2 linked regions of the Tamandua tetradactyla genome follow. Each later gene encodes a partner of the first gene's protein in a complex. Links are inferred from orthologs where the notes say so. Each region holds a gene or a part of one and is shown on either strand. Other genes may lie near its edges. The genes, in order: UPF3B and MAGOHB.

Region 1 (15,580 bases):
GCTAAACAAACTGTGGTATATACATACGATGGCATATTATGCAGCTTTAAAACAGGATAAACTTATGAAGCATGTAATAACATGGTTGGACCTAGAGAACATTATGCTGAGTGAGTCTAGCCAAAAACTAAAGGACAAATACTGTATGGTCCCACTGATGTGAACCGACATTCCAGAATAAACTTGGAATATGTCATTGGTAACAGAGACCAGCAGGAGTTAGAAACAGGGTAAGATAATGCGTAATTGGAGCTGAAGGGATACAGACTGTGCAACAGGACTAGATACAAAAACTCAAAAATGGACAGCACAATAATACCTAATTGTAAAGTAATCATGTTAAAACATTGAATGAAGCTGCAACTGAGCTATAGGTTTTTTTTTTACTATTATTATTACTTTTATTTTTTTCTCTATATTAACGTTCTATATCTTTTTCTGTTGTGTTGCTAGTTCTTCTAAACTGATGCAAATGTACTAAGAAACGATGATCATGCATCTATGTGATGATGTTAAGAATTACTGATTGCATATGTAGAATGGTATGATTTCTAAATGTTGGGTTAATTTCTTTTTTTCCGTTAATTAATAAAAAAAAACCCAAAAAAAACAAAACAACAAAAATAAATAAATAAATAAATAAATAAAAACACCTCCCTACCTTGTATCATTTACAAAAATTAACTCAAAGTGGATCAATGACCTAAATATAAGAGTTCAAACTATAAAACTCTTAGAAGAAAACATAGGGGAAATATCTTCATCTTCAGGACCTTTTATTAGGTGATAGATTCTTAGACTTTACACCAAAGCATTAGAAACAAAAGAAAAATAGATAAATAGGACTTCATCAAAATTAGAAACCTTTGTGCATCATAGGACATTACCAAAAAAATGAAAAGACAACCTACAGAACAGGAGAAAATCTTTGGAAACCATGTATCTGATAAGGGTTGATATCCAGAATATATAAAGTACTTTTACAATGAACCAACAAAAAGAGAACCCAATTTAAAAATGGGTTAAAAGTATCAGTGGTGTTTCTGAAGTGTTTTCATAGTTCTCTTCAGAAATAGTTAAATATTGTGCTTTTCAGAGCTTCAGAGAAGGGAGATTCAGGATTGGGGGGACTATCTATTTGTATTGGGCCAGCCTAGATGATATTGGCAACCAAGGTTTTATTAGGGTTTCTGTGCATATAGTGTAGTAAAGAAGTATCATTCAGGGGTGAAAAACAAAGAGCATTTTATCAGTGTTGAGAATATCTGGCCATTCTATAGCCTTTTTCTTCTCTTCCCAAAGAAATCCTGTTCCCTAACTTTGAAACTGTTGGGATGGGGCATTCCTTTAGGACCAACGAAAACATAATGTTGGAGTCAGTGATATATTTGGCTGACACTGGCTCAGTATTCTCTCAGGTCATTATATTCTCTCATATACAGTTACAGGAAATTAAAATGTTTAAGTAATGTAAAATGAGTCAGGCCAATAAAATCAAGGGAAATACAAGTTGAATTCCATTACTTCTGTAGATGCTTGCAGCATGCTGCCCACCAGTCCGTGCACTGTTCTGACACTTTACCTAGAAGGAAGACATGTACAGAAGTCATAGAGGCATGAGTAGAGTAAGTGTTAAGGATGATAGTCACGTGTCTTTGCTCTTTATGCCTTATGCTTAAGTCTGGTTTAAATCTTTTGTACCTTGCTAATGGTGGTATAAAGTGTGGGATAGTGTCATAACCAGTTTGACGATTTATTAATCACAAAATAACAATAAATCTCTAGCTTTTAAAAAAAAAGTATCAGTGGCAGAGAGAGCAAAGTATCAGTGGCAGAGAGAGTTCAAATAGAGTCAAGGTCGCTCTTACGCAAGCTTCAGGTAGACTTTGCTACCTATCATAACCTGCCAACCCCCAACCAGGACCATTCCAGCCAATCCTAAAGAACACCTAGAGCAATATATAAGATTCTACAAGGGTTCCAGGCACTAGAGTAACTTTCCAGAAACCTACAACCTCCACATAGGTCCCCGGTCCAGATAAGTCCTGAAACCTAGCCCAGCCTCTCTAGAACATCAGATAATTCCATTTCCCTACCCCGTATTAGTGACAGACCCTTCCAATATCAAAAATTTAGAATTGCCATAGTCTAAACAACCCTAAAGAGAGAGATGGAAAGATCAAAGGTGATGGTAGAATTATACAAAGAAGATAGGATTTAATAAATGAGTATAAATGCTGAATCATTAGATTGCTATCTCTTTTAGTCTCCAGTATTTTAGAGCAGCTAGAAGCAAAAACCTAAAATTGTAGAATTGTAACCCATGTCAAACTCTGAAATATGTTCTACAACTAATTGTAGTGCTGTGCTTTGAAATTTATAGCTTTTTTGGAGATATGTTAATTTTCACAAACAAAGGAAAAAATTTTGATTGTGATGATAAAAAAAAAATTAAGCCCTCTAGCCTCCTATATTCTGGAGCAGCTAGAAAAAAAATATGAGAGGATCATATGGTAGCCCTTGACAAACTCAGGGACCTGTCCTGTAATCATTTGTGGAAGAATGCTTTGAAAACTATTGTTTTTTATTTCTTTGTTTTGCATACATGTTATACTATACAATAAAAAGTTAAAAATCAAAAGAAAAAATGGGCTAAAAACTTGAATAGATGTTTCTCCAAAGGAGTTCTATACATGGCATAAGCACATGAAAAGATGTTTAATATCATTATTCATCAGGGAAATGCAAATCAAGCCACAATGAGATACCACTTCACCCACTGGGATGGCTATTATTAATAAATAAATAACAAGTGTTGGCGAGGATGTGAAGAAATAGGAACCCTCATACATTGTTGATGGGTATGTAGAATGGTGCAGCCACTGTGGAAAACAGTCTGGGGGTTCCTCAGAAAGCTAATTATAATTATAGAATTAAAAGATGATCTGGCAATTCCACTACTAGGTACATAATTGCAAGGTTAAGTAAAAGCAGACACTCAAAAAGATATCTGTATAGCAATGTTAATAGAAGCATTATTCACAACAGCCAAAAGGTGGAAGCAACCCAAGTGTCCATCAACAGATGAATGAATAAACAAAATGTGGTATATACATAAAATAGATTATTCAGTCATGAAAGGAAATGAAGTCTGAAACATGCTACAACATGGATGAACCTTGAAAACGTTATGCTAAGTGACAGAAGCCAGACATGAAAGGATAAATATAATATTTATCCACTTATATGAAATATCTAGAATAAGTAAATTTATAAACACAAAAAGTAAATTAGAGGCTACCAGGAGTTGGGAGAATGGGAATTAGCAGTTATTATGTAATGGGTACAGAGTTTCTGTTTTGGGTGATGAAAAAAATTTGGTAATGTATAGTAGTGATGGTAGCACAATACAGTAAATATAATTAATGTCACTAAATTGTATATTTAAAAACGGTTAAAATGGCAAATTTTATGTTAGGCATATGTCTCACAATAAAATTTTTTTTATTAATTAAAATTTTTTGAAAAAATACAACAAACACAAACATTCTTAACTTATGATCATTCCATTCTACATATATCATCAGTAATTCACAATATCGTCACATAGTTGCATATTCATCATCATGATAATTTCTTAGAACATTTGCATTAATTCAGAAAAAGAAATAAAAAGAAAACAGAAAAAATTCATACATACCATTCCCCTTACCTCTCCCTTTCACTGATCACTGGCATTTCAATCTAAATTTATTTTAACATTTGTTCCCCCTATTATTTATTTCTATTACATATGTGCTACTCGTCTGTTGATAAGGTAATAAAAGGAGCATGAGACACAAGGTTTTCACAATCACACAATCACATTGTGAAAGCTATATCATTATATGATCATCTTCAAGAAACATGGCTACTGGAACACAGCTCTACATTTTCAGGCAGCTCCCTCCAGCCTCTCCATTACATCTTGAATAACAAGGTGATATCTATTTAATACATAAGTATAACCTCCAGGATAACCTCTCGACTCTGTTTGGAATCTCTCAGCCATTGACACTTTGTCTCATTTCACTCTTCCCCCTTTTGGTCGAGAAGGTTTTCTCAATCCCTTGATGCTGAGTCTCAGCTCATTCTAGGATTTCTGTCCCACGTGGCCAGGAAGGTCCACACCCCTGAGAGTCATGTCTCATGTAGACAGGCGGAGGGCAGTGCGTTTGCTTGTTGTGTTGGCTGGAGAGAGAGGCCACATCTGAGCAACAAAAGAGGTTCTCTTGGGGGTGACTCTTAGGCCTAATTTTAAATAGGTTTGACCTATCCTTTGTGGGGTTAAGTTTCATATGAACAAACCCCAAGACTGGGGACTCAGCCTATTGCTTTGGTTGTCCCCATTGCTTGTTCTCACGATAAAAATTTAAAACAAAAATCAAACTACAAAGAGATACCACTACACACCCACTAGACAATAACAAGTGTTGGCAAAGGTGTGATTCAATTTGGACTCTCAACACACTGCTTCTAAGAGTGTTAACTGGTATAACCATTTTGGAAAACTGTTTAGCAGTATCTACTAGAGCTGAGCATATGCTTATGCTATGATGGAGCAATTCCCCTCCTGGGTATGTATTCAACAGAAATGCATACATATCATCACCAAAAGACATGTACTAGAATGTTCACAGCAGCACTATTTGTAACAGCCACAAACAGTGGAATGGTTAAATTGTGGTCGATTCATACAACGGAATACCAAAGCAATGAAAATGAACAATTCACATCTCCATACAATAACACAGATAAATCTCATAGTTGTAAATATTGAAAGAACCCCAACAATAAAAGAATGCATTCTGTATGAGTCATTTTACATCAAGTACAAAAACATGCAAAATTAATCAGCAATGTTAGAAGTAAGGAGGTGGTATTCTTGGTGGGGGGAGTGATGGGGAAGAGGCACTAAAGAAGCTTCTGGAATCCTGGCAATATTTTGTTTCAATCTCAAAACTAGTTACATGAGTGTGTTCACCTTGTGAAAATTCATCAAGCTATACACTTATTACTTGGGCACTTGTCTATACATGTGTTATACTTTAGTTAAAAGTTTAATTACCACAACTTCTCTAATAAAAAATTTTAAAAGTTTAATTAAAAAGAAAGTTTACAGTGTTTGATATGCATAATAATGCTGCAGTACCAACATCACCCAAGATGTCCACATCCTATTCCCTGGAACTGTGACTATGTTAGGTTACATGGCAAAGGGCATTTATGGTTGCAGGTGTTATTAAGATTACTAATTGACTATTAAAATAGGGAGATTAGCCTGGATTATCCAGGTGAGACCAATATACTCAGAGTTCCCTAAAGTGGATGGTGGAGGCAGAAAAGAGGATCATGGAAAGAGACATGATAACAGAAGCAGGGTTAGAAAGATGTTATGTTGCTAGTTTTGGAGACGGATGAAGGGGCCACAAATCAATGAAAATGAGTAAAATCTCAAGAATCTGGAAAAGACAAAGAAATCAAGGAAGTAGATTCACTCCTAAAGCCTACAGAAAGGAACTCAGTCATGCCAACACCTTGATTTTAGCCCAATGAGACCCACTCTTTCAGTTTGCTAAAGCTGCCAGAATGCAATATACCAGAAATGGATTGGCTTTTAAAATGGGGATTCATTAATTACAACCTATAGTTTTAATTTACAGTTCTAAGGCCATGAAAATGTCCCAATTAAGGCATCAACAGGATGACACCTGACTCTGAAGACAGGCCACTGGCATCTGGGAAACCTCTGCACATGGGAAGGTACATGGCCGGCGTCTGTTAGTCCTTCTCTCCTGGGTTTTACTGCTTCCAGCTTCTGGCTTCAGTGGCTTCCTCTCTGAGCTTCTGTAGGTCTTCTCTTAACTTCCCTGCGGGTTTTCTCTATGAAATTCTCTGGGTTTTTTTCTGTCATTTCTCTCCTAAAGGAGTCTAGCAAAAGGATTAAGACCCACATTTAACGGGTTGGGTCACATCTCTATTGAAAAACCCTAATCAACAGGTCCCACCTACAAGAACATAGGAACGTCATTACTGCAGGGTGTTGAAAATTGATAGTAATTAATATTTTAAAATTTTAACTATGTGTCACACTATAGCAAAAAATGTTTTGGTACAAAATTTATATTTTGACTAGTGCATTTCCTAATATAACTTATGTAGATGGCTTAATTGAATACCGTAAGTACATGGAACCCTGAGTAGGGCATGATATTTTGTTGGTTTGTCCAGAGTGATGCCCCGATAAATCCCAGAGTGATTTTAACAGTGAATAAAAAAGTATGTGCAAAGTCCCCTTCGAGGAATGGTGAGAAAGGGGGAAAATTCAACTTCCCCAAGTTGAATTCTTGATATTCTCACAAGCAGTGAGGACAACCAAAGCTATAGGCTGAGCCCCCAATCTTGGGGTTTGTCCATATGAAACTTAACCCCACAAAAGATAGGTCAAGTCTACTTAAAATTAGGCCTAAGAGTCACGCCCAGGAGAACCTCTTTTGTTGCTCAGATGTGGCCTCTCTCTCTAGCCAACACAACAAGCAAACTCTCTGCCCTCCCCCTGTCTACGAGGGACATGACTCTCAAAGGTGTGGACCTTCCTGGCAACGTGGGACAGAAATAATAGAATGAGCTGGGACTCAGCATCAAGGGATTGAGAAAACCTTCTTGACCAAAATGGGTAAGAGTGAAATGAGACAAAGTGTCAATGGCTGAGAGATTCCAAACAGAGTTGAGAGGTTATCCTGGAGGTTATTCTTACGGATTAAATACATATCACCTTAAGATGTAATGGAGAGGCTAGAAGGAACTGTCTGAAAATGTAGAGCTGTGTTCTAGTAGCCATGTTTCTTGAAGATGATCGTATAATGAAACAGCTTTCACAATGTGACTGTGTGATTGGGAAAACCTTGTTTCTGATGCTCCTTTTATCTATCTTATCAACAGACGAGTAAAACATATGAAATAAAAATAAATAATCGGGGGAACAAATGTTAAAATTTAGATTGAAATGCTAGTGATCAATGAAAGGGAGGGGTAAGGAGTATGGCATGTATGAATTTTTCTATTCCTTTTTCTTTTTCTGAATTGATGCAAATGTTCTAAGAAATGATCATGATGATAAATATGCAACTATGTGATGATACTGTGAATTAATGATTTATATATGTTGAATGGAATGATCATATGTTAAGAATATTTGTGTTTCTTTCTTGTCATATCTTTTCTAAAAATTTAAAAATTAATTGAAAAAAAAGTCCCACCTACAACAGGTCTGCACCCAAAGGAATGGATTAAAAGAGCATGGCCTTTTCTGGGGTACATAACAGCTTCAAACTAGCACACCCATGTTGGACTTTCAACCTACAGAACCACAAGATAAATTTGTGATATTTTAACCCATTAAGTTTGTGATAATTTGCTACGGCAACACTAGGACTAACACAATTGGTGTGGGGGAAGATCAAGTGTTATGTTTTGGATGTTGTGATGTTTTAGAGCTATGTAACCAAGAAAAATATTCTTAAACTTAATCCATTCCTGTGGGTATGAATTGTTGTATATAGAAATGTTTGATGAGGTTTTTTCAATTAAGGTGTGGCCCAGCTGAATCAGTATGGGTCTTAACCCTATCACTGAAAGCCTTAAATGGACGGTTACAGAAAGAGAGATAGCCAGAGGGAGCAGCCAAAAGCTGAAAGTCAATGGAACCCAGAAGAGAAAGGAGAAGCCAGGAGAGTCTGCCATATGCATTGCCATGTGACAGAAAAGCCAAGGTCCAAGCATTGCAGGCAGCAGCAAACAACTCCAGTCTTCTGGGAGAAAGCATTGCATTAATAACACCTCAATTAAGACTTCTCTTAACCTCAAACCATAAGCCACCAAATTCCAATTGTTTACGATAACCCATTGAATTGTATTTGCTTTAGCAACAAGGAAACCGAAACAAATGTGTTCAGAGATACTGGAGACATTAGATACCCAAGAGGAGATGTCAAGTAAACAATTCGCTATGAGTCTGGAATTCAGAGAGAGAGATACACAGTGGATATATACATTTAGAGTTGTCAGAAGACTGGATAAGCTCAACAAAGGAGTATCGATAGAAAAGAGTTCTAAGGACCGAGCCCTGGGACACTCTATTTCCAATAACTGATATGTAACTGGTGGTTTAAAGCTAATGAGCATTCAAAATGGGGGTATACACCAAGATGTAAGTGCAGAGTTATGGAGGATGTCAAAGGAATATACTTAAGCAAGGCTTATAAGAACAGGCAGGTATTGAAAGCAAAAGTGCAAAACAGGCCACAAATTCAGGGAAACAGTCTTTGCAACAGGCATTAGGAACTCAGCATAGGCTGGGAAATAGGGGTGGGAAAATTTTAGTACAGATCTGAATAATATATTCTAGACATTAGCAAAAGTAGGAATTTGGTACTGAGCCAACTTTCTGCTTTGGGCTCCTAATGTATCCTTAAGTTGGTATCCTGCCTTATGTGAATATCTGTGTATCTCTCTAGCTTATCATTTGTTTTCTCTTCCATTTCTCCCCTTTTTCCCTAAATGTTTTCCCTTGTACCTGGCAATCACTGATCTGGTTTCTATCACTACAATTTTGCCCTTCTTTAGAATTTCATGTAAGTGGAATCATACAGCATGTCCTCATGTCCTCTCTTTGCGTCTGCATTCTTTTACTTAGCATACTTAGCTTGAGATTCATCAATTCTGATGCGTGATATCAGTTCGTTTTGTTGCGGTGTATTTCCTCGTACCAACGCACTTTTTTTTTTTAATCATTCATCACTTGACCGACACTGGACTCTCTCCAGTTTGGGTCTATTAAGAATAATGTAGGGAACAAATGTTAAAATAAATTTAGTTTGAAATGCTAGTGATCAATGAAAGGGAGGGGTAAGGGGTATGGTATGTATAAAATTTTTTTCTGTTTTTGTTTTATTTCTTTTTCTGAATAGATGCAAATGTTCCAAGAAATGAGTATGATGATGAATATGCAACTATGTGATGATATTGTGAATTACTGATTATATATGTAGAACGGAATGATCAAAATAGGAATGTTTGTGTTTGTTAGGTGTTTTTTGGTATTTAAAAAAATAAAATAAAATAATTTAAAAAAAGAATAATGTATAATTGACTTTTTTTAACTGAGGAGGGTTACCCCAACTAAGTCAAAGTAGGTTTTACTTTATTTTTTCCTCCTTGTGAGGCATCAATACAATAATAGAATCCTTTCTTAAATTATAAACGAGTGATGAAAACAAATCTCACATATTTTAGTCATATTAAATCCTTCATATACCAAATCTTATGAGTATTTATTAAGTATCTGGGAATCAGCTATGGATCCTAATCAATATAAGGAAAATACTGAAGTTTCTGAAAGTACACTTCAGAATATCAAGAAAATACAAGCCGTTCCCGTAGCAAGGCAAATTTTGGATAACACTGGATTTATACGAGGAAAACAAAGCTAAGTGCAGCCCGCAGAACCTATATCTTTCAAGATTAAAGGATTGGATTTACTTACAAATAGGGACCCTGGCCTCTCTCAACCAGAAGGGGCAACTGCTTTGTATGCCGGGACTTGTAGTTTTCGAAAGAGTCTTTTTATTTAAGACGGTGGTGTTAGCCAATCCTGTGCGAAGGAGCGGGCCCCAAGGGAGTCTGGGATATGACAGGATTCGGCCGTGCGAGAAGTAAGCACCAGGTGTTGAAACTTTTCTTCGGAGGGAAGCCTGGTGCATGAAATCTCGCGAGGTCTTGGCACTGCCCAATCAAACGAGCGGCGGAGCTCGTAACTAGGGGCATTGTTGGGGGCGGAGCTCTGACGGGAGCTGGGCTGGCTTCGTTAGGTTCCCGGCGCAGCAGCGTTCTGGCGGAGCAGATCTGTGAAGAGCGTAGCCGTGGCCATGAAGGAAGAAAAGGAGCATAGGCCGAAGGAGAAGCGGGTAACCCTGCTAACGCCGCCGGGGGCTACCGGCAGCAGCTGTGGGACTTTGGGGGACAGTGCCAAGGGAGAAGATAAGCTGGATCGCAGTAAGGAGAAGAAAGAGGCAATGAGCAAGGTACTCGGTCGACTGTTGGCCGGGGAGAGGGCGGAACGCCCCGCCGCCAGTGGATGATGGCTGGGAATGGGGGTGCCCTCTTCATCTCCTCGTCCCCCTCTTCCTCCCTCGCCTGAATGAAAATCGCACCACAGTGCCTCATCCACTTGCTCGAAATGAGGGGAGGGGGGAGCTCCTACCGGCCAAGCCCGGCCGTGGGAATGAGGAAAAAGGGGGGCTCCCCAGACGAGAAGGGTTTAGGTCAAACCTGTGAGATGATAATTATGAAGTGAGACGGTGCGCGACAGTGAGGAGAATCGGAAATTTAAAAGTTTATTGAGGAAAATTATTAGGAAGTGAAGGGAACATCAGGTGCGGGAGTAGCCTGTGATAGCAATATTAATGGAAGCGAGTTGGGGAAGAGTGTAGGGGGAATTAATGGTCTGTGGAAGGCGAATGGGGAGCATCTTATTTCGGGGGCAGTGGTGTGAATGTTTTCATGCTCGTTAGAGTTTGAATTCATTGAATTGAATGAAGGATTTTGTTTTAGGAGGTGTTAGATGTGGGAGAGAAAGATTAATGAATCAAGAGTCCTTGGCACCCACAAAAGACCAGGGTTGACTTACTGATTTACCACTAGACCTGTTGAAAAATGGGTAATAGAAAAATGGTGCGTAAACCTAGAATACCGCGGGACTGCGAGTTAAGAGCAGACTCTAAGATTTTCCTAATGCCAAGCGGTTCTCATTTGTAGGAATTTTTTTAAAACCGCCTTACTATTATGTTTGACTAATTCTGATCGTTAGGCTACAGAAAATATTTTCTCCTGGGTTTTTGTAAGTAATGACTTTTAAATCTCATCCTTCCTTAGGGATTATGATTCCTTCAGGATTGACAGGAAATTGATTTTTACTAATTCCTTTATTCATTTTTTTAAGGTGGTGATTCGGAGATTACCTCCCACTTTGACCAAGGAGCAGCTTCAGGAACATCTTCAGCCTATGCCAGAGCATGATTATTTTGAGTTTTTTTCTAATGATACTAGGTAAAAAAAAAAAAAGTGGGATGGGGTGGTAAATTAGAAAAAGATTTCTTCTGTTCTTTGCATTCTACTAATATTTTCAATTTGATTTTTGAAACTGTCTCTTTATTTAATGTACATATACTTGTAATTCAACCAGATACCCACCAGTTTATTAACACAATTGCTTTCCTCTCTGCAGTCTGTATCCTCATATGTATGCCAGAGCATACATCAACTTTAAAAACCAAGAGGACATTATTTTATTCAGGGATCGCTTTGATGGTTATGTATTCCTTGACAATAAAGGTGAGCATATCCTCAGTGCCTTCATAGCGTTTCTAAAATCCTGGGTGGTAAAATATACAACATTTAAAAAGTTTTACACATGTGAAAACCTTATTGCAGTCTTTTAAATATATATGTGATTTTTCACAGCCCTTGAGTATTTTTATTGATCTGTTATTTCTGTGGTTTGATCACCTGCATGAAATTGCCACCAATTTTTTTTCATACAATAAATTTTGTGCCCTGGATTACATAACGTTATTTGGATTATTTACTAGTCTCAACAGCAGTACTGATAAATGACTCTTTGAACTTGTAAGACAAGTTTTATATATTTACTTATCATCTTGCTTCAAGGACCAACATTTATTTAATTATTTAATTCAAATCCCTTATAGCCCATAGTTTCCAGTTAGAATACTGTTTAATGTATTCTACATGCAACACAGAATTCTCCCTATTTTGTATGTAATTAAGACATGAAATTTGATGATGTTCCTCTTTGTACCCAGGAGGATCCAATCTATAGGGAAGAAACATTTTCACCTTAGCTTTCTTTTTATTATCTGCTGCTTATAAGCTATAGATAGGGAATGTCTAAACTGCCATTGGTCACTTTTCCTTTAGTTCTGCAATCCTAGGTAAATGGAGTGTCGTTTGTTTTGTTTTTTCGGTATTATTTCAAAGTTGATAAAAAGTCATTCTTGAATGAGCTGGGACTCAGCATCAAGGAATTGAGAAAACCTTCTCGACCAAAAGGGGGAAGAGTGAAATGAGACAAAATAAAGTGTCAGTGGCTGAGAGATTACAAACAGAGTCAAGAGGCTATCCTGGAGGTTATTCTTATATTAAATAGATATCACCTTTTTAGTTAAGATGTTAATGGAGAAGCTGGAGGGAACTGCCTGAAAGTGTGGAGCAGTGCTCCAGTAGCCATGTTTCTTTAAGATGATAGAGCTTTTGCAATGTAACTGTGTGATTGTGAAAACCTTGTGTCTGAAACTCCTTTTATCTACCTTATCAACAGATGAGAAAAATATATTAACTAAAAATAAATAAATAATAGGGGGAACAAATGTTAAAATAAATTTAGTAGATTGAAATGCTAGTGATCAATGAAAGGGAGGGGTATGGGGTATGGTATGTTTGAATTTTTTTCTGTTTTCTTTTTAATTCTTTTTCTGAATTGATGCAAATGTTCCAAGAAATGATCATGATAATGAATATACAACTATGTGATGATATTGTGAGTTATTGATTATATAACAAGAATGGAATAATCATATGGTAAAAAAATTTTCATTCTTTATCAGCAAATATGCCAGTAAAAGTTGGATTGCTAACTGTGTTTGGCCAACTTTTATTAATACCCCAAACCAGCTGCTTCTTTATTCCAGTATATAGTAATGATTTCCTAATCATTTAGCCTGATCTGAATTGTGTTTAACTTTTCTTCCTTTTTCATCCCTTACATTTAAATAAATGATGAATTTTGTCAATTCTTGATTTTTTTGATGCAGACTTAAACTTTCACACTTTATGACATTTTTTTTTCATGTAGACTTACACTTTCACGGTTTATGTCTTCATCTAATGCTTGGACAATCACTGCCTCTAAACTTGTAGAATTTTCCATTTATATATAACTCAGTCTATTATATTACCAGGAAATTAATCTTTTTGAAAATACTGATTTTAAGATATAGCAATCATATAAAAAAAAAGTCCAGGGCGGGCCAGGGTGGCTCAGCAGGCAGAGTTCTCCCTGCCATGCCGGTGCCTGCCCATGCAAAAAAAAAAAAAAAAAAAAAAGTTCAAACTCCTTAACTTGGTATTCAGGATCCCCCGTGGTCTAAACTCCCTTCTGGTGTTTTTTTGAGCCTATCTTCAGTTTCCCTCTGCTACAGAATGGTCTCTATCCTCTCCTAAAATATAACACAGTTATTAACCTAATCTGATTCTACATTCACTAGGATTTCCAGAATCATGTTTTTTCCATGACTGCTTTGTGATGCCTCCTGGCCAATTCTTGTTATTTCATTCTGGCTTGCCTCTATGCCAGTGATCTAAAGATAATATCTTATACCTTGTGCGACACTGTTCTCTGATTGGGAACTGATACATATTTTTTACATAACAACTTTATTGAGATTCTTACATATAAACTCACCCTTTTAAAGTATACAGTTCAGTGGTTTTTAGTATATTCACAGGGCTGTGCAGCCATCACTGTAACCTAATTTTAGAAACCATTCATCAACCCCACAAAGAAACCCCATATACTTTAGCTGTTAGTCTCTATTCTCCTCACCCCTCCCCCAGTTCTAGACAATCACTAATCTACTCTCTGTTTCTATAGCTGTACCTATTCTGGATATTTCTGATTTTTTTTTATTGAAAATTAGATTGTATTTAGGTTTCACATATCAAAATATCACATTTTAGAAGTTGAATTTAAATAAATATTTTTTCTTTCCTGGCACATTTTTTTCATTATGTTGTCAGTGTGACATTTGGACTCCTCTGATACCATATTGACTCTAGTTGTGTCAGTGTGTTTTATGCTCATTGAGAGGTGTCATCAAAGAGGCCCTAGAAAACTGTGGGTTGACTCACTTGTATCCACTTTTGACATTTTCTTTGTTATAGCAGGTGTGTTGTTTTCCTTTTTCTAAATAGGTCAAGAATATCCTGCTATAGTAGAATTTGCCCCCTTTCAAAAAGCTGCAAAAAAGAAGACTAAGAAAAGAGATACCAAAGTTGGGACTATTGATGATGGTACGCTATAGCTATAGTTATGTAATGCTATTGCCGTGTTTTTGTTTTTTTTTAATATTACCTTTGTGAAAGCTAGTTAGACCCCAGTACTTTGCATAAGAAAGTATACTGAATAAAATTAATGAGAAATGTTTGCCAAAGGAGGTGTTTTTAATTGTTAGAATGGAGATAGGTTTCCTGCAAAGAGTTTCCACTCTCTTTTGCTGGTGGCATTTCAGTCTCCATAATCAAGTAGTATAGTATTAATTATTGAGTTGCAAACCACCATAAGTCTATTGATTAGAAGACAATGGAAAAAATCAAATGTTTCAAAGTATAACAGCTGTTTCTTGAGATCTCTTAACATTTTCATGATTGACGTTTAGTTTTCATTATCCTTATATAAGTAAAAGGTGTATTATTGAGAGCCATGATGGAAAATTTTCCATGTCTGAATAACTTAATATAAAGCAGCTGAAGTGGTCAATCCTATTTCTAGGCTTTGACTGTGCAGTTACCTACAATAATTAGGTTGAACTGACGTATAGGAAATGACAAACAGGAATAACTGCCATTTAAGGTAAAGCTCTCTGTAACCAGTTTTTTCTGTTCTTTGGATAAGGCCTTGGCCCCGATATTTTATATCAGATTGATATTTTAGAATTATCTTGTTTGATGTCTCATTCACTTCTGTAACTGGTATTTTATAAAGAAAACACAATAAGGACCAAATAACACACAGCCACTTACTGATTATATCATGTATTCAGATCCAGAAGTCTGGATCAAGTGACATGCTCAACAGTGCATAGAAAGTCCAAATAAAAGCAATATAATGACTCAGATGTGTTACTCTTTCTGATATTAGGTGTCTAAGGAAAACTCCAAGAATTATCATCACTTCCGGTGCCACATCTAGGATTTCCCCATGATTTATCTTTTAGGGACACTTGGTTTTCATGTTAAGTTCACTTACAGTGGGATATACCCATGTAGGGATTGCTTACATGCAATGTTTAATACCCTCTGAAGATCCTGTGGCTATACCTTTTAGTTCTCCTGTAAGTGGGATTAGTAGGAACAATGACATTTAAAAGGAAATTATATGACATGCCTAGTGTGTCTGTTATAAAGCATGATGTCTCATTTTCCCTGATACCTGTGTTATACAAAACTCTCATGGTAGGTATCAGTAATTGGAGTTCTGAGAATAAGTCCTCAGTAAAATTTAGTCTATCTTGTATGGATATGATTTGATGTATTTTCCAATCTTTTATGAAGTAGAAAATTATCTTCTTTGATACATAAGTATCCTAGATAATATTCCTTATTTTGTTTAAAGTCTGCTTTTCTGTTTTCTTTATTGATTATTTAGATCCAGAGTATAGAAAGTTTTTGGAAAGTTATGCTGCAG
Region 2 (15,393 bases), on another chromosome or scaffold:
CTAGAGAAGTTAGACTTTAAGTCAAAGTATAAAGAAGGAAAATGACCTAGATTCATTGAAAGAAGAATCTGATCACATTATTTGAGATTACTATAAATCACATTATTCCATAACTTCTTATTTTTCTGGTTGTAATGTTGCTTTTCCTGGTAGATAAGTTATAGCGATTGTCTGGAATGTTGCAAGTTAATAACAGCAAAGACGAGAATATTCAATTTCTGTAACAGTGATTGGCTGTAGAGTGAAAACGCTCTTCTGTCACAGTGGCTGTGGTTTGAAAAATTTTGAGTCCTTATAAAATGAGTCAGTTGAAAATATAATATTAAGAGAGGATGAGAAGGAATGTCATTAGTCTCTGGAAAGAATATGAGGGACAGAGCAAAGAGAAGTAAATTAGTGAATTGCACACTATTTTGTTAAGGCTTGTTGGGAAAGGATCATGTTCCGCATATACTTTTTTTTTTTTTCCTTTGCTAAGGAAGTCAGTTTCTCTTGTTTCCTTTTCAGGTATAGTCTTATGAAGTCCTGCTGGCGCTGGAGTGAGGACAGCCGCCCTTCACCTGGAGAGCTTCGTTTGCGCCTAGAAACTGCTGCTCGAACTGCCAATGACAAGGCTGTATTGCAAGTACCAGAGTTAGTGGTACCTGAACTGTATGCTGCTGTGGCGGGCATCAGTGTGGAGAGACTTTCTTACAACTACAGCATCCTTTGAGGACCCTTCAGGAAGAAACAGTTATGATTGATCATATACTCTTGGAACCAGTTACAGAAAGTGGACTTTCTAGTGGGACATAAAGGGAGAAATGGGACATGGGCCCTGGGTCTTCACCCAACATTTCCCTAGAGACCTGAAATGATGCTCACTGAAGCTGTCCACCATACCTTGAGGCTGAAAAATAATGTCAGCTTCATTTTTTCTAGCCCAATTCTTAAAACCTTCTTAAAGATCCAGGATAAAAGTGGTGGATAGTGTCACTGCAAAGGAGGTTTAGGGAATCTGCAGTATTTGTTGGGGCATGGCACAAATAAGCTGTTTTCTTCCAGCTTACTTTCCTCCTGAAGCATGCTTTTATCTAGACTATTATAAGAGAAGCTGGAATCAAGTAAGGGAACTGGAAGCCAATGAAGGAATTGGAGAGAAATAAAATTAAAGGTTTTCTTTGCTGGAGAATATAGGTGTGGAGCAAAGCCATCCTTTGAAGAGTAGGTGGGGAGGAAGGACATTAAGTTCTTCAGTCCAGGTCCCTACTTCTTGGGATAGAGAATAACCAAGAAGGAAAACTCCTGAGTTTCCTCTTGGGTATAAAAAAAGAGAAAGATGGTCCCTTTTATCTAATTCTAAAACAGAAGAATACTGTTGGTACTGCTTTTAACTAGAAGGTTGGAGGAATCGATTCATGAATAACATTTGACACGTATTGTTCAGCAGGCAAACTTCCTGGTCCCTGTAAGATTAAGGGGACTGAACTTAAAGAGTCAAAGTTGACAGTGATGAAAATGCTGTTTGTGTGCTTCATAATTAGGAAATGTGGAAACTAAGTCAGAAAGCTTAGAAGGTCTTTTAAAAGGGATAGAAAAGGATGCAATCAGAGAAGGAGGTAGGATGGCTTTTAATTTCTAGTCACCTGTTGATGTACTGTGAACCATTTCATTAAATAAATATTTATTGAAATAATAATATTTGACAGCAGCCAAAGTCTCTAGAGATGATAAAAGTAAATAAATGGATTTTATATCAATAGAAAATTTGAAGAGACAACTTATTTTGTCAACAAAGGGATTCCTTATGTGTAAAATGGGCACAATACCTACCCCTCACAGGGTTTTGTGAGGAATGGATGAGCGTGTATACTGTATACATTATCTGGTACATAATATATGCTAAATACATGTTAGTTTCCTCACTTTCCCCATTACTGTCCCTAAACTTTTCTTATCTTTTTCATTTAAAATCTGCCAAGGCTAAGAAGAGAACCTTAGTCTGTCAGCCACACCACAAGGCAGGCCATGCCTACAAATGATGATACACATACCACGATTAAAATGATGAAGTCATCTTTTTAATGTGAACTTCTGAATGGTAATAATAGTTGCCTACTATTTCAAAATATTGGAAATAGCATGATAAAAAAAATTCAGTAGAACATGGTGATCCTGATTTTAAAGAATACTCTAGGTACTCTAGGAGTGACACCTAAGACTCCTACAGGGAAAATGACAGGCAGTGGTAAACTTTTTAGAAGTTGGAATCCTGACAATGTCATGAGTCGGCTAACCGAGTAATGATGCTGGCACCTGCTGAAACACCACAATGACTACAATGTCAGGATTTAAATGGGTGGAAGTAGCAGTAGCGAGAAGGAAGGTAGAGCATCTTAGCACATAATAAGAATGTCCTCTGGAATCCCATTGTTGCTTCTCAGCAGTTCACTTAAGTCAAATTTAGGGAGTATTTATTCAAATTTTTTTTAAAAAAATTGAGTCCTAGGGCCCACTACACCAAATACTTGCTAGGTATGATGAGATAAAAGAAATAGAGCACTTTTGATTATAGTCAAGAGTAGAGACATTATATATTTATTTGTGTAGATATCTGTTTATTATAAATCAGTGCTAAGTTCTATGAAGAATACAGTATAGAATGGGGATCTCCATGAAGAAATAGTATTTAAACTGAAGACTTAGATATGGGTAAGTAAGCCAGACAAAAACAGGAAGGGCTGTGTGTATGAAATCCTGAAGTAAAAAAAAGCATAGTTGGTTTAAGCAAATGCAAGAAACAAGTGTAGTCCAAGCCTGGTGAATTAGGGAGAAAGTGGCAAAAGCTAAAATGGGGTACTGCTTTTTCACACTGTATCTTTGCATTTGTTTTGGTAGGAGGGAAAGAAGCAGATAATTGCTCTTTTAAATTTTTATTTCTAATTTTATTTTATTTTTCTAGTTATAGGTTTGTGAAACTGGACACAGTAATTTTTTACTCTAAGAAACCTTGGTCTTTAGCTCACATGGCCAAGTTTTTTCCAAAACAGTGATTATATTTCTGGCATCTTTGACCTGTCAACCAAATGAATGGAAATTAACGGAGGATGATGAATGGAAAAAGTTATTAAAATACTTACTATTTAATTCAAGTTAGGATATGTTTTGCTGTTTTGAGTCCTGCCTCCTCCAATCTTGTTTGCTCAATCTATGCTTTATTGTTAAGAAATTTCCAACAATCCTGGGAACTGTGAAAATATCTACTTGGATACTGTAACTAATGGAAACTTGATAACATAGTTTAATTTGGAATAGTCTGAACCAATAGTTCTCAAATTATGCTCATGAAGATATTAGTATCCTTACATTAGATTTAGGGTATTCTGCTGTTAAACTTGAATAATAGTGGGGATTTTTCACTGTTTTTAAAAAGAAAAAATAAGTTAATGGATAGAATTTTATTAATCTTAACATTGCTGTTATATATGTATAAAATTCTGGACTAACATAACTCACTTAAATAATTCAAGTACTGAAAGATCCAGACCAGGCCTATGCTTAATTCAACAGACTCTTTCGTTGTTGTTTTGGACACAAGAATTAGCAGTTATGATACATGTTAGAAGCATTCAATATCATCATACACTAGAAAACAATTCCTAGTTTGAATAATGGAGTTAAATATATCATGCCATGATAATCTAGAATAGCTGCAAGTGCTCATAATATATGAATGAGCATATCTGAGAAAGAACGGTGTGGAAATTTTGTTTTTTCTGCATGACAGTGGCTCTCTTAGTTAAAAAGTAATACCACTGAGTGGTTAAAAAGACAGATATGGTTAAAATTCTATAGGAAGACTATTTCAGAAGACAAGGGTAGACAGACGGATAAAGGACTATTCAAAAGTGATTGATAAAATAAAGAAAACTGAGAGTAAAACTACCACCCCCAATGTTTATCACAGGAAAGTTAGCCCATGTTTCTGAAAATTGAAAATAGGAATGATTTGATAATTTGAAATAGGTATAAAGACAAAAAAAAAAAAAAGGAGGGGAGGACAGTGGGGATATGAAAAACCGATCAAAGGAAGAGAGAATTTTAGATGTAGGAGAAATCAGAACATTTTAAAGAATAAATTTGTAATGATAAAGAATCATCTCTGACCCCGGCCCCCTTACCTGAAAGCAAAAATTAAAACAAACAAAACACACACACAGACAAAAAAACTGTAGCAGGAAAGAATTATTTTGCCAATTTTAAAGTTGTGTATTATTTGATTAAATCATTTCTTTTCAATTTTCATTGAAATTGGAAATCACGTGCTTATTTCCTAATACCTCACAAGGGTGCTTTGATTTCTTTTTCCCTTTTTCGGAAGTGCAGGGTCCGGGAATTGAACCCAGGGCTCCAGGATGGTAGGAAGAATTCTTCATCAATTAATCTTGCACCATCCTCATGTAGGTGCTTTGAAGCTGACCAAAGATAGGTTGTGTTAGCAAAGCTGAAAACAGCAGTCCAAATGAAAGACTTTTATTTGCCTTCATTTAAGCAGCCCAAACATTTATTTTCATAAGTAAATTGTGGTGATACCAGTAAGTATGCCGCAATGTGAAGCCTAGAGCTACTGAGATTTAAACACACTCACAAAATGCTTTCACTATTCCCAGCCCAAGTAAAAATGTAAAAAGAAAAAAAGGGCTTTATACAAGTGCACTGTCCATCATGCTAGCCAGATGTGGCTACTTAAACATTAATTTAGATGAACAAAAATTTTTAAATATTTAAAAATTAAAAATTCAGTTCCTCAGTCACACTAGCTACATTTCAAGTGCTGTCTACACAGAACATTTCCACATTGTTGTTGGGTAACATCTGAGAAGACTACAAAACACAAATGCTTTAGTCACTTTGCAATCTTTATCATGATTAGAGAAATACATATTTTAGCTTTGCTATTTTGGTTAAAATATGAAGAGCTGAGTAAATATATTTTCATATTATATCATAAAAACAGGTAGAGCTAGAGGGGATTAGTCTTGAGCCTAAAAGCCTTTCTAGGAGGGTAAAAACCAAAACTGGCCCATTGACAAAGACCTTAAATCTTTGCATATTCCATGAGCTTTATTTACATAGTCAAAAATTCTAGTATCCATAGCTCTCTTTAAGTAGACATGAAGAGGAATACTGGCACATAGACTAAAAATTTGAAGGAAACAGATTAGGAAATCTAAAGACAATGAACGAGGTTTCCCATAGAAACTAAATTGCTTTAGTTTTCTTGGCTGCTCAAAGAAATACCATGTAATGCGTTGGCTTAGACAATGGGAACTTATTGACTCATGGTTTTAGTCCGGAAGTCCAAATCTATGCTTTATTGTTATCAAGGTATCATCATGGTGACGTTTTCTTCCCCTAGAGTGGCCTTCAAGGGATGGCTGCTGGTGATCCTTGGTCCTTGGCGCCTGCATCACACAGCAATGCACATGGTGGTCTCTTCTGAAGGCTTCTGACCTTCAACTTCTTGCTTTCTATTTGTCTGAATTTCATTCTACTTATAAAAGACTCCAGTAATAGGATTAAGACCCATCCTGATAGAGTTGGAACATACTTTAACTGAAGTAACTTCCTCAAAAGGTCCTACTTACAATGGGTTCATACCCAGAGGAACAGATTAATTTTAAAAACATATTCTTCTGGTTGCATAGCTCCAAATTACCACATAAATAAATGGATTACAGTAAATATTTCAGAGTTGTATTGAATATTGTGGTTAAATTTCAGTGGGTTATTCATGTGGTAAGTACAATGACCACATCATCTTTGTCTGGGATCTCACAGGTTTTAAAACTGAAAGTTTTGACATCCTAGCAAACCTTACAGGCTGGACAAACTGGACTGGTTTGTCACTGTAGTGGTTAGGGATGGTGCCTTATGTTTCTTATGTATTTTCCATAATGGTGGCCTATAGTAGTTCATACCAAGTAAAATTTCTATAGAAACAGTTATATAGTAACACCTTATTTATAAGGTCCAACATACCTTGGCCCAGTCTGTCTTTCTAGTTATTCTACTTCAGAGAATCTTATGTTCTAGGTATACTGCATTTCTTGGATTCTCCAACACCAAGTATTTTCATAACACTGTGCCTTTGCCCAGGCCATATCATCCCACTGAAGACACACTGAAGTTATCTGTCAATGTCCAATTAAAATAGCACACCTTTTCACAAGCCTTCCTTGATACCTTTCTTCAGCTTCCTCTCTCTGCAATACACTTGCTCCTCTCCTGCACTATCAGCATATTTTTCCACAAATTTTTAATATAGCAGTTGCTTCCTTGTGCTAATACCTTTCTCCATGTTTGTTTTCTCTTCTAGACTACAAGTGCAAAAGTCTTTCTTTTTATTTCTGACAAATAAGAAAATGCTTGTTAAAATGCATTACGTAGTATTTTATAAATTTCAAAGCTTATTCGCACACATTATCTCATTTACTCCAATCAACAATTTCATGAGTTTGGCAAAGCTTGTTTGTAGTACACCTGTTTCCTTGATGAACATACAGTGATTTGAACAAGTTAGAACTACTAACTTGAACTAGGTAGTAGTTCTGTTGGGATTGAATCTCAGGTCTTCGGACTGCTACTCTTTCCATGAAATTCCAGTGAAGGTTAAGGGTCATCTGACACATAACTGTTCGTAACAGAAGGTTGTCCAATATCAGAAAACCAGACTTTGTGTAAAAGCTCACCTTGTCTTTTCCATCTTCAAAACTACCTCACAGTAGAACTTACCTTCACTTTCTCAATTTATTTTTATCAATTTTATATCTATCTATATGAGAAACCTGGATTAAACCGTTATTTGATCTTGAGTCAAACTGCCAAAACTCCATAGGTCACTAAAGGTTAACAGTTACACAGTGAATGAAGCATCTAAGAAGTTTCTACTATTAAAGGAACTCTTTTATTCCAAGGCTGTCAGAATTTTCAGTTTCAATATGTTTTTCAAAACTTCAGACATCTCCTCAGAGGGCTACTTCTATACTTTGTGTCTCTATTACAGGCGTCCGTCTCCAGGAAAACTAACAATCATCGTTCAAAAGGAAAACCCGGTGTTAGGAATCACGTAGAGAAAGTTGTTGTATGACGAATTTCCCATCGACTCTGGGTTTTATCTTCACTCACTTAACCAGTTAAAATTGGGTAAAGCCACATCCACCGCCTACAACTGCGCGAGACTTGAGACCAGAATAAAGCGACTTGCAATCCTTAGCACTAAGCGCACACACAAAAAACCAGTACCGTATTTTCATACTTTCGTCTTCTGCTAATATGACAAAATCCGTTTAATTTTTAAAATAGCGTACTTCCGATCTCCGCAAAGCAGTTCAAGTCACTTTTGACCTGCCTTTGCTCTCTCCGGAGCCTCTCCCACGAGACACAGCCATTGTTCTTGCCTTCGCAGAATCTGCGAGGCGGAAGCGCGGCGACCACGATGACGCGCTAATCCGGGGCGATTGACGTCACTCCCAGGCGCCGGACGGCACGTTGCCCAGGCCTTCTGCCGGCTTCCCGGAAACAAAAATGTCTCTAGCCAGCGATTTCTACCTACGCTACTACGTAGGGCACAAAGGCAAATTTGGACACGAGTTTCTGGAGTTTGAGTTTCGGCCGGATGGTGAGTGGGCTGGGGGGGGGCTGCTGGCACTGCAACTCTGCGGGGGTGTCGGGAAAGGGGAAGCCAGGAGAAGAGGCGGCGAAGGACTAGGGGTGTGGGGTGGAGCGAGCAAGCCGCGGTGGACTTGAAAGTGTTCTGTGGCAGCTGAAGCCGCTGCTTGAGCCGAAGTAAGTAGCTGAAGAATATAGGAAGCCTAAGTTGATTCTTGTGACTAAAAGGATTAATTGGTGTGAGTTCAGAAAAGCTAATACTGTCACACACTGAAAAGTTGAATCAGTGGTATTCAGAATCCTAGAATCCGTGTGGCAGAAGGTCTAATACTTGGGCAGTTATAACAACACCCTACCCAGCGGTGGGCCTGTGTATGCTTAAAATTTTCCAGTGACTGATTACTTTTCGTTCTCCCCATTCATTCACTTTTTTTCATTCAGGCAGTGTGTGTAAAGCAGCAGGTCAAGAAAGAAATGACACCTGCTCTGAAGGGGAGAGTCCCCGAAGTGTATACAGAAGAGTGAAATGATGTGTTTGGGGTTCGATTGTCTACCACAGTAGTACGTTAGGAATTCAGACATGAAAAGTGATTAGTGATTAGCTCTATCTGATGAGGGTCAGAAAAAGCTTCCTAGAAATGAGTTTTGGAATAAGAGTAGGTATTTTCATGACCTTTGAGGGAGATAGTCCAGACTACCAAAACAGTATGAGTAGAGGGCGAGGTGAAACTCCCAGCACTCACGAAATGTACAGCAAATTTGATCTCTTGACTGCACAAACTCTTTTAAAGTGCTTTATTGCGTATTGAACTCTGCCTGCCTGTCACAGGACAGTTCAACTGGATTAGATTTTTCCTTTTTGAATGCATATTATGTGTTGGGGCAAAGTGTCATATACAGAAATTGAGAATACTGTAATGGTAAGACTCTTTAATTGCCTTCAATGAGTTGTGTCTTGGTAAAAGACACAGAAATGAAACAGACCATACAGCAGTATGGATAAGAAGTGCTGTAATCATGCTTTGGAAAAGGTTCTACGAAAGCATGAAAGAAAAATTAGGGAGAGGGTCACATATTAGGAAAGGGGAAGAGTATAGACATTTCAGGCAGGAATCTAGGTAACTATTGCTCTGCAGATGAGAAACCCTTATTACCTTATTCAGGCTTGTTTTCCCCATATCTTTTCCAAATTTAGCTAAGGAGGTAAAGGAGCTGAATTCTTCACCTATTTATTCCTTAACATGATACAGTTTTCACAGTATCCTCACCTGTGACCACCATCCAGCATTTCAATATCACTTTTACTCAGTTACATAAATGAAGTACCCTGAGGCTATTAGGGAATTTTCATCCCAGAACAGTGCTTCTTATCCATTTACCTGCTGTCAAACCATTCTACATACTTCCATCAGTAACAATGACTCGCAAAGACAGTACCTAAAGGATACACCTCAGTAGGGTACCCTATTACCATTAAATGCAGATGATCAAGACAAAATTTGCTTCTGTACCTGGTCAACGAGTTGGCAATGAGAAGTGTGCATCAGGGAATATGAAAGTCATGATGTGTTAAAATTAAATATAAACCAGCCAACAAACTAGTCAACTTCTGTATGGGAGCTTTGTGTAGTCTGTATACTTTCTAGTCACAATTCTAAAGCATTAGTATTGCCATATTTATAATTACATTTACGTTGAAGGAAAATAATTAAAAGAACATTTTGAAGTAGTGGAGAAAGCATGAGTATAGGAAGACAGTATATATAAATTTGAATATTGTGTGACCATGGGCAAGTTACTTTGTTTACTCACCTGTGAATAGAGGTAATAAAACCTTTCTAAGGTTTGCTTTTAGATTCGATTAGATGTGCTAAGTTAAACCACTTAGCACCAGTTCAGATTTATAACCTGAAAAATAAATGTTAGTACCTTTTCCAAAATCCTTTGCTAATTTGTGATAGCTAGGAAAAGGGGCCTTAAAAATGACCCTTTTGTCATATATTGTAGGAATGGAATATTTAAAAATTTGGCTAGCTTCAGCCAACTTACCCACAGATATTTATTGAGCATCTTTTTCACCAAGCATGAAGGAGGAAATAATAATAAAATAGCAGCATAAAATGGTCTTTACCTTCAAAATTGCTTACAATATTTTTTTAGCCTTTTCTGCTGTTACAGATTGAATTTTTTTCTTTTCCCATAGGAAAGCTTAGATATGCCAACAACAGCAATTACAAAAATGATGTTATGATCAGAAAAGAGGTAAGTTCTTTTTAAATATCTAATTCTTATATTTAGTTCATTTTAAAAAAAATTTTATTAATAAAACCAGTAAACACACAATGTGAACATTCTTTTTTCTCTTGTCACATAGTTGTATATTCATCATGATCATTTTTAGAACATTTGCATCAATTCAGAAAAAAGAAGAAGACAACAGAAAAAAATTCATACATACCATACCCCTCCCTTTCATTTTTGTATTTCAATCTACTAAATTTATTTTAACATTTGTTCCCCCTATTTATTTATTTTTAAACCGTATGTTTTACTTATCTGTCCATAAGGTAGATAAAAAAAAAGCATCAGACACCAGGTTTTCACAATCACACAGTCACATTGCTAAAGCTATATCATTATACAATCATCTTCAAGAAACATGGCTACTGGAACATGGCTCTGCATTTTCAGGTAGTTCCCTCTAGCCTCTCTGTTATACCTTAACTAAAAAGGTGATATCTATTTAATGTCTAACAATAACTTCCAGGGATAACCTCTCAACTCTCTTTGGAATCTTTCAGCCATTGACACTTTACTTTGTCTCGTTTCTCTCTTCCCTCTTTGGGTCAAGAAGGTTTTCTCAATCCCTTGGTGCTGAGTACCTTGGTGCTGAGTACCTTTCTGTCCCACATAGAAAGGAAGGTCCACGCCCTTGGGAGTCATGTCCCACGTAGAGAGGGGGAGAGCAGTGAGTCTGCTTGTTGTGTTGGCTGAGAGAGAGGCCACATCTGAGCAACAAAAGAGGTTCTCTTGGGGGTAACTCTTAGGCCTAATATTAAGTAGGCTTAGCCTATCCTTTGCAGAGTTCAGTTTCATATGAACAAACCCTAAGATTGTGGTTAGCTCATTTTTTTCATGTATTTATTGAAGCTACGAAAGTACATCTAAGGCTGTTTGTTGTAAAGAAGAAGCAACTTTATAGATTAAGAAGAGATTCAATTTAAATGAGATAACCATAACGTCTGTAATAACAAAAGAAGCAATCTAAATATATTAAGTAGTCCACATTTGAATATAGCATGTAATTCATTTTACTATTAACTTTGTCTTTTTGCTCTATTAATGATTTAAAACCAATTATAATGATTTAAAAATAGTATTAATTTTAAATCAGAGGCTCAAAAGTTAGGTGTAGGAATAAGTTTGGAGCACTGACTGTGATGTGTCCTTGGCATTTGCCTCTGTTCTCCCATAAACCACTCTGAAATTGAGTCCCCATGTTTCAAAGGCAGAATTTTAAAGGGAGATTTAAAAAGAGGGCTGGGGATAAAAGAGAGAAAATATAAATTAAAGGAAAGGGCTGGAGAGTGAAGACAAATAAGAAAAGTGAATGATTACCATTCTGTACTTTTGGAATCAGAATTAATTTTTTTTCTATGATATTTTATTTGAATATTCAGTGTTTATAACCCCTTTTTATTATTTCTTTCTCAGTTGTGGAAAAAAATAGGCAGCCATCATGAAATTTTTATTGTAACTTATTTTCAGGCATATGTACATAAGAGTGTAATGGAAGAACTGAAGAGAATTATTGATGACAGTGAAATTACAAAAGAAGATGATGCTTTGTGGCCTCCCCCTGACAGGGTTGGCAGACAGGTTTGTATTTAGTAGAGATATTAATGCAGAAATATTAAAAATTGATAGTATGTTTCCCTTAGAATCATTCCTCATTGATCCTTTGATTTTCCATTTTCTGTCCTATATCTTAGTAGTAAAGGAATAAATGCTTAGCTCTATTTTTAGACATCTTACTCCTTAGTCTCTCTGTAGACACCCCAGCCAAAATTAGAATATTTTCATACTGTTGTGAATAATTTATATTGTATGTTAACCGCTTTTATTAGGAATAGCTACAAGTGTTGCTTATTCTATTTGAGACTTATGATTCTCTTTGAGTATATAAAATTCACTTTTTCCAAATTTATAACTTTCAGAATTCTTATCTGCATCCTTTACCCAGAGAGGGATTTGATTGCTTTCTTTGTTCAAACTGACTATTGCCTTTATCTCTCATATTCTCTTTAGAATAACTGATATTTCTCCAAGGGCTTCTGAAGAACTTTGAAGGCCTAATTTCACTCTGTGAAAAGACAGTTTGGTTTCTAAATCGGGTCTTTTCAACTCTTGGAGAAATGAGGTACCACCTTTGGAAGGAAGAAACATTTAAGTTCACTCTTATCTATTCCTGAGGAGTATGCTTTATATTACCTCCTTTGACTAGAAGAAAATGTGGAGAAATCTAACAGATACTGACATTTTGTAACAGTAAATTAACTCTTCTATTTAAAGAAACAGTATTTAGGAACACAAAGGTAATATTAATAGTATTTATTTTATGCAGTGTAACATTTTTGAAAGTAAAACTAGACTTCAGTTTGTTTCATGTACATATGTACTAAAAAACAGAAACGAAACAGCAACAAACTTTTCGTATATTTTAGACTCAGGGAGAGCCCAATATTTCATCTGTCCACTTGCTGTTATGTATTCACATATTTTTGTTAGCTGGGAAGAATGGGCATGCTTCAGAAATTATCAGTTGGATCATTCAGTCAAGTATTTTATGATTGTTTGAGAGTCTAGTTAATTCTCCATTTGATATTTGCTACAAAGTGTAAATAATTAGGTTTGTTGATCAGTATATACCTAGGGCTGTCTCTGATGGCATCTGTTTGTCAGTTTGACTGGAAAACTAGCTATAGACATAGCCTCTTAATTAATGATTTCAGATTTACAGACAGACAGTATAGAGAAAAACTTATATAATTATGGCATGTTAGAATCATCTATCTTGTATTATATTTGTTAATTTTTAATTTTAATTGTTTTATAAACTCAAAAGAGTGTGGGTCTTTTGAGTCTTAGTCTCTTGGGTTCAAATATCAGTACCATTACTTACCAGTGGTTGTAAATAGCAATTTTTTTCTGTACTTTTTGAATCTTGGATTTCATATTTATAAAATTAGATGAATAAAACCTATCTAATAAGGATATTTTAAGGATTACAGCAAATGTTTACAAAGTCCCTAGTACCAGGGTCTGACAGTAGGTACAAAAGTGTAGATATTATTATTTTTGTAGAGCCTGCTAAAAAGGGAAAATGTGTGTATGGTTTTTATTTTGGGGGGGAGGGTGAAATATGCCATGTAAGAGCCAAATTTGTTGAAAACTTATGATTGTTGATAGCATTTAATAAGGGCTGTAATGTGCTGAATTTATTTTAATAATAGGTTTATACTCATATACTTATTTTTATAACCTTGTACTTCACAGTGATGCCTTTAGTTTTTGTTAACATTACAAGAAAGATTTTTGTGTTATTAAGTATTTTAATAATTTCATTATTATATAATAATATGTGTACATTATAGTACCCTTGTTATGAAGACTGTGAGAAGCAATTCTTGCTTGGTCTTATAATTGGGATTAGTGCTCTTAACAGTTGATTTGGTTTTTTTTACGGATGTCATTTTATGAATAACAGAACAAGTTTCTCTTTTTCTTCCTGAATGACTGCTAGAAAACTTGGAGCCTGAATTGGAACCTCTTTGTAACAGATATACAGATATCTCTGGAATAGACTTTTTTTTCTATTAATTGCATTTTTGGGTCTATTTAATTTTTTTTCAGGAGCTTGAAATTGTAATTGGAGATGAACACATTTCTTTTACTACGTCAAAAATAGGTTCTCTTATTGACGTAAATCAGTCAAAGTAAGTATGTTAAGCACTTCGGATAAATTAACATAATCTGTTAGACTCCTTTTGGAACTATAGCCAATTTATTTGCTAAGATTTTTACTTCACTGACATCATATCACTTTATTATGTAGATCTTTTTCATTTTTATGTTATTAAAGACTTATCCTTTCTGTCAGAATATTTTACAGATTTCCAAAAAAAGTCTGAATTCAATAACTAAGTACATTAGATGAGTACAAATTTTATTAGCTATTTCATGTAAAAATCTGGAGATATTGTCACAAAACTTAAAGAAAAATCCATATTTAATTATATCAGCCATTTAAAACCCACATCATAATGCTCTCTTACTGAGTGGGGTTCAGTACTTGAAAGAAGGGGGAAAAATCCAGTATACCTGAACTATACCTTGAGTACCCAGGTCTTCCCAAGTTTTCTGGGTTTTTGAAAAATCTCCTCTTGGTCTCCAGCCATTTCTTCCTGTCCATTCTCCTCAAAATGCCTTCATAGTGCTTGCTTTTTCTGACACGCTATATTTGTCAGCTTTACTGATTTCTTTAATGTTCTAAGAGAACCTTGCTCTGTCTTTAAAGTTAGTACAGTGCCTGGCACATAATCGGTGCTTGATAAATATTTGTTAGAGGAAAAGAGGAAGGAATGGATGCATAATAACTGTTGGACACAAAGGCCATGTTCATAAAGACCAATTAGATGATTTTAAACTATTTTTTAATGCATTTATTTTCTCAGTTTGTGAGGATGTGGCATTTATATCCTGCTGGCAGGAATGTAAATTGCTGCAGTGCTTTTGGAAAACAATTTGGGAATGTGCATTAATAACTTAACATTTTTCATGCATTTTGGCCTAGTAATTTTGTTTCTGGAAATCTATACTAGGGAAACATTTTCAAATATTGGGAAAGTTTTGTGAGACAAAAAGATAGATGTTCATTGAAGCATAATTTATAATTGGAAAAGTCTAAATGTGTAACAAGGAGTGGATTGTTAACTAAAAAATATCAGTGAGAAAATATAAGAAAATGGTGTAGAAAGGGCACAGGGAATAACTTCAGTTATGAGAAAAAAATAGAGAACCATATCAAAGTATAGCATTCCCTGAGAGAGTTTTATTATTATAATATATATGTGTAGCATTAAGAATATTATACTTTTTTTGAAAGCCACATATTCTTGTATAAGGAAATAAAAACATTTTAGATATGAAAATGAGTACTAATGAAGAAAATTATATATTTTTCCTTGCAGATAGAATAGATAGGTTAACTGCTAGCAAAATCCTTTCTTTCTCCTGACTTCCTTTAATTTAATTGTTTCAGGATTTGTCTTTTGTTTTGTTTTAGGAATTAACTTAGAAATTTATGTTGTTTCATTCTGCCAATAAAAAAAATAACTTTTATCTTTTTCAATTTTAGGGATCCTGAAGGCCTTCGAGTATTTTACTATTTGGTCCAAGACCTGAAATGTTTAGTTTTCAGCCTTATTGGATTACACTTCAAAATTAAACCAATCTAAATCAGATAGTTTTGAGGCTGTCTGTATATTTAATTAAGGGATGGGTAAGGGAGGGTTATTTTTCATTTACAATATTGGGATTTTTATGAAAGTGAAGCAAATCTTTTTTTATATGTGAACTAAAAATAAGAAAATACATTAACAGGCTTAATAGTATCCTCACTTGGATCCAAGTGTGTTTAACAGTCTTCCTACAAGTTAAATTCTGTAAATAGAACTACTTGTC

What was found.
Region 2: UPF3B (region 1) and MAGOHB share a complex: the UniProt entries of both Homo sapiens proteins name them as parts of the mRNA splicing-dependent exon junction complex. The link is inferred for Tamandua tetradactyla from reciprocal best matches to the Homo sapiens genes UPF3B and MAGOHB.

What each region holds. Positions count from the first base shown.
Region 1 is NC_135353.1:46,948,540-46,964,119, forward strand, and holds the start of UPF3B (regulator of nonsense transcripts 3B), read left to right. Parts: upstream 1-9,801; 5' UTR 9,802-9,965; coding exon 9,966-10,121; intron 10,122-11,038; coding exon 11,039-11,145; intron 11,146-11,323; coding exon 11,324-11,430; intron 11,431-14,088; coding exon 14,089-14,187; intron 14,188-15,541; coding exon 15,542-15,580. UniProt on the Homo sapiens protein: Involved in nonsense-mediated decay (NMD) of mRNAs containing premature stop codons by associating with the nuclear exon junction complex (EJC) and serving as link between the EJC core and NMD machinery.
Region 2 is NC_135333.1:73,220,267-73,235,659, reverse strand, and holds the start of MAGOHB (protein mago nashi homolog 2), read left to right. Parts: upstream 1-7,501; 5' UTR 7,502-7,566; coding exon 7,567-7,660; intron 7,661-9,853; coding exon 9,854-9,912; intron 9,913-11,418; coding exon 11,419-11,529; intron 11,530-13,563; coding exon 13,564-13,646; intron 13,647-15,067; coding exon 15,068-15,167; 3' UTR 15,168-15,393. Other genes in the region: tyrosine-protein kinase STYK1, read left to right, coding at 508-712. UniProt on the Homo sapiens protein: Required for pre-mRNA splicing as component of the spliceosome. Plays a redundant role with MAGOH in the exon junction complex and in the nonsense-mediated decay (NMD) pathway.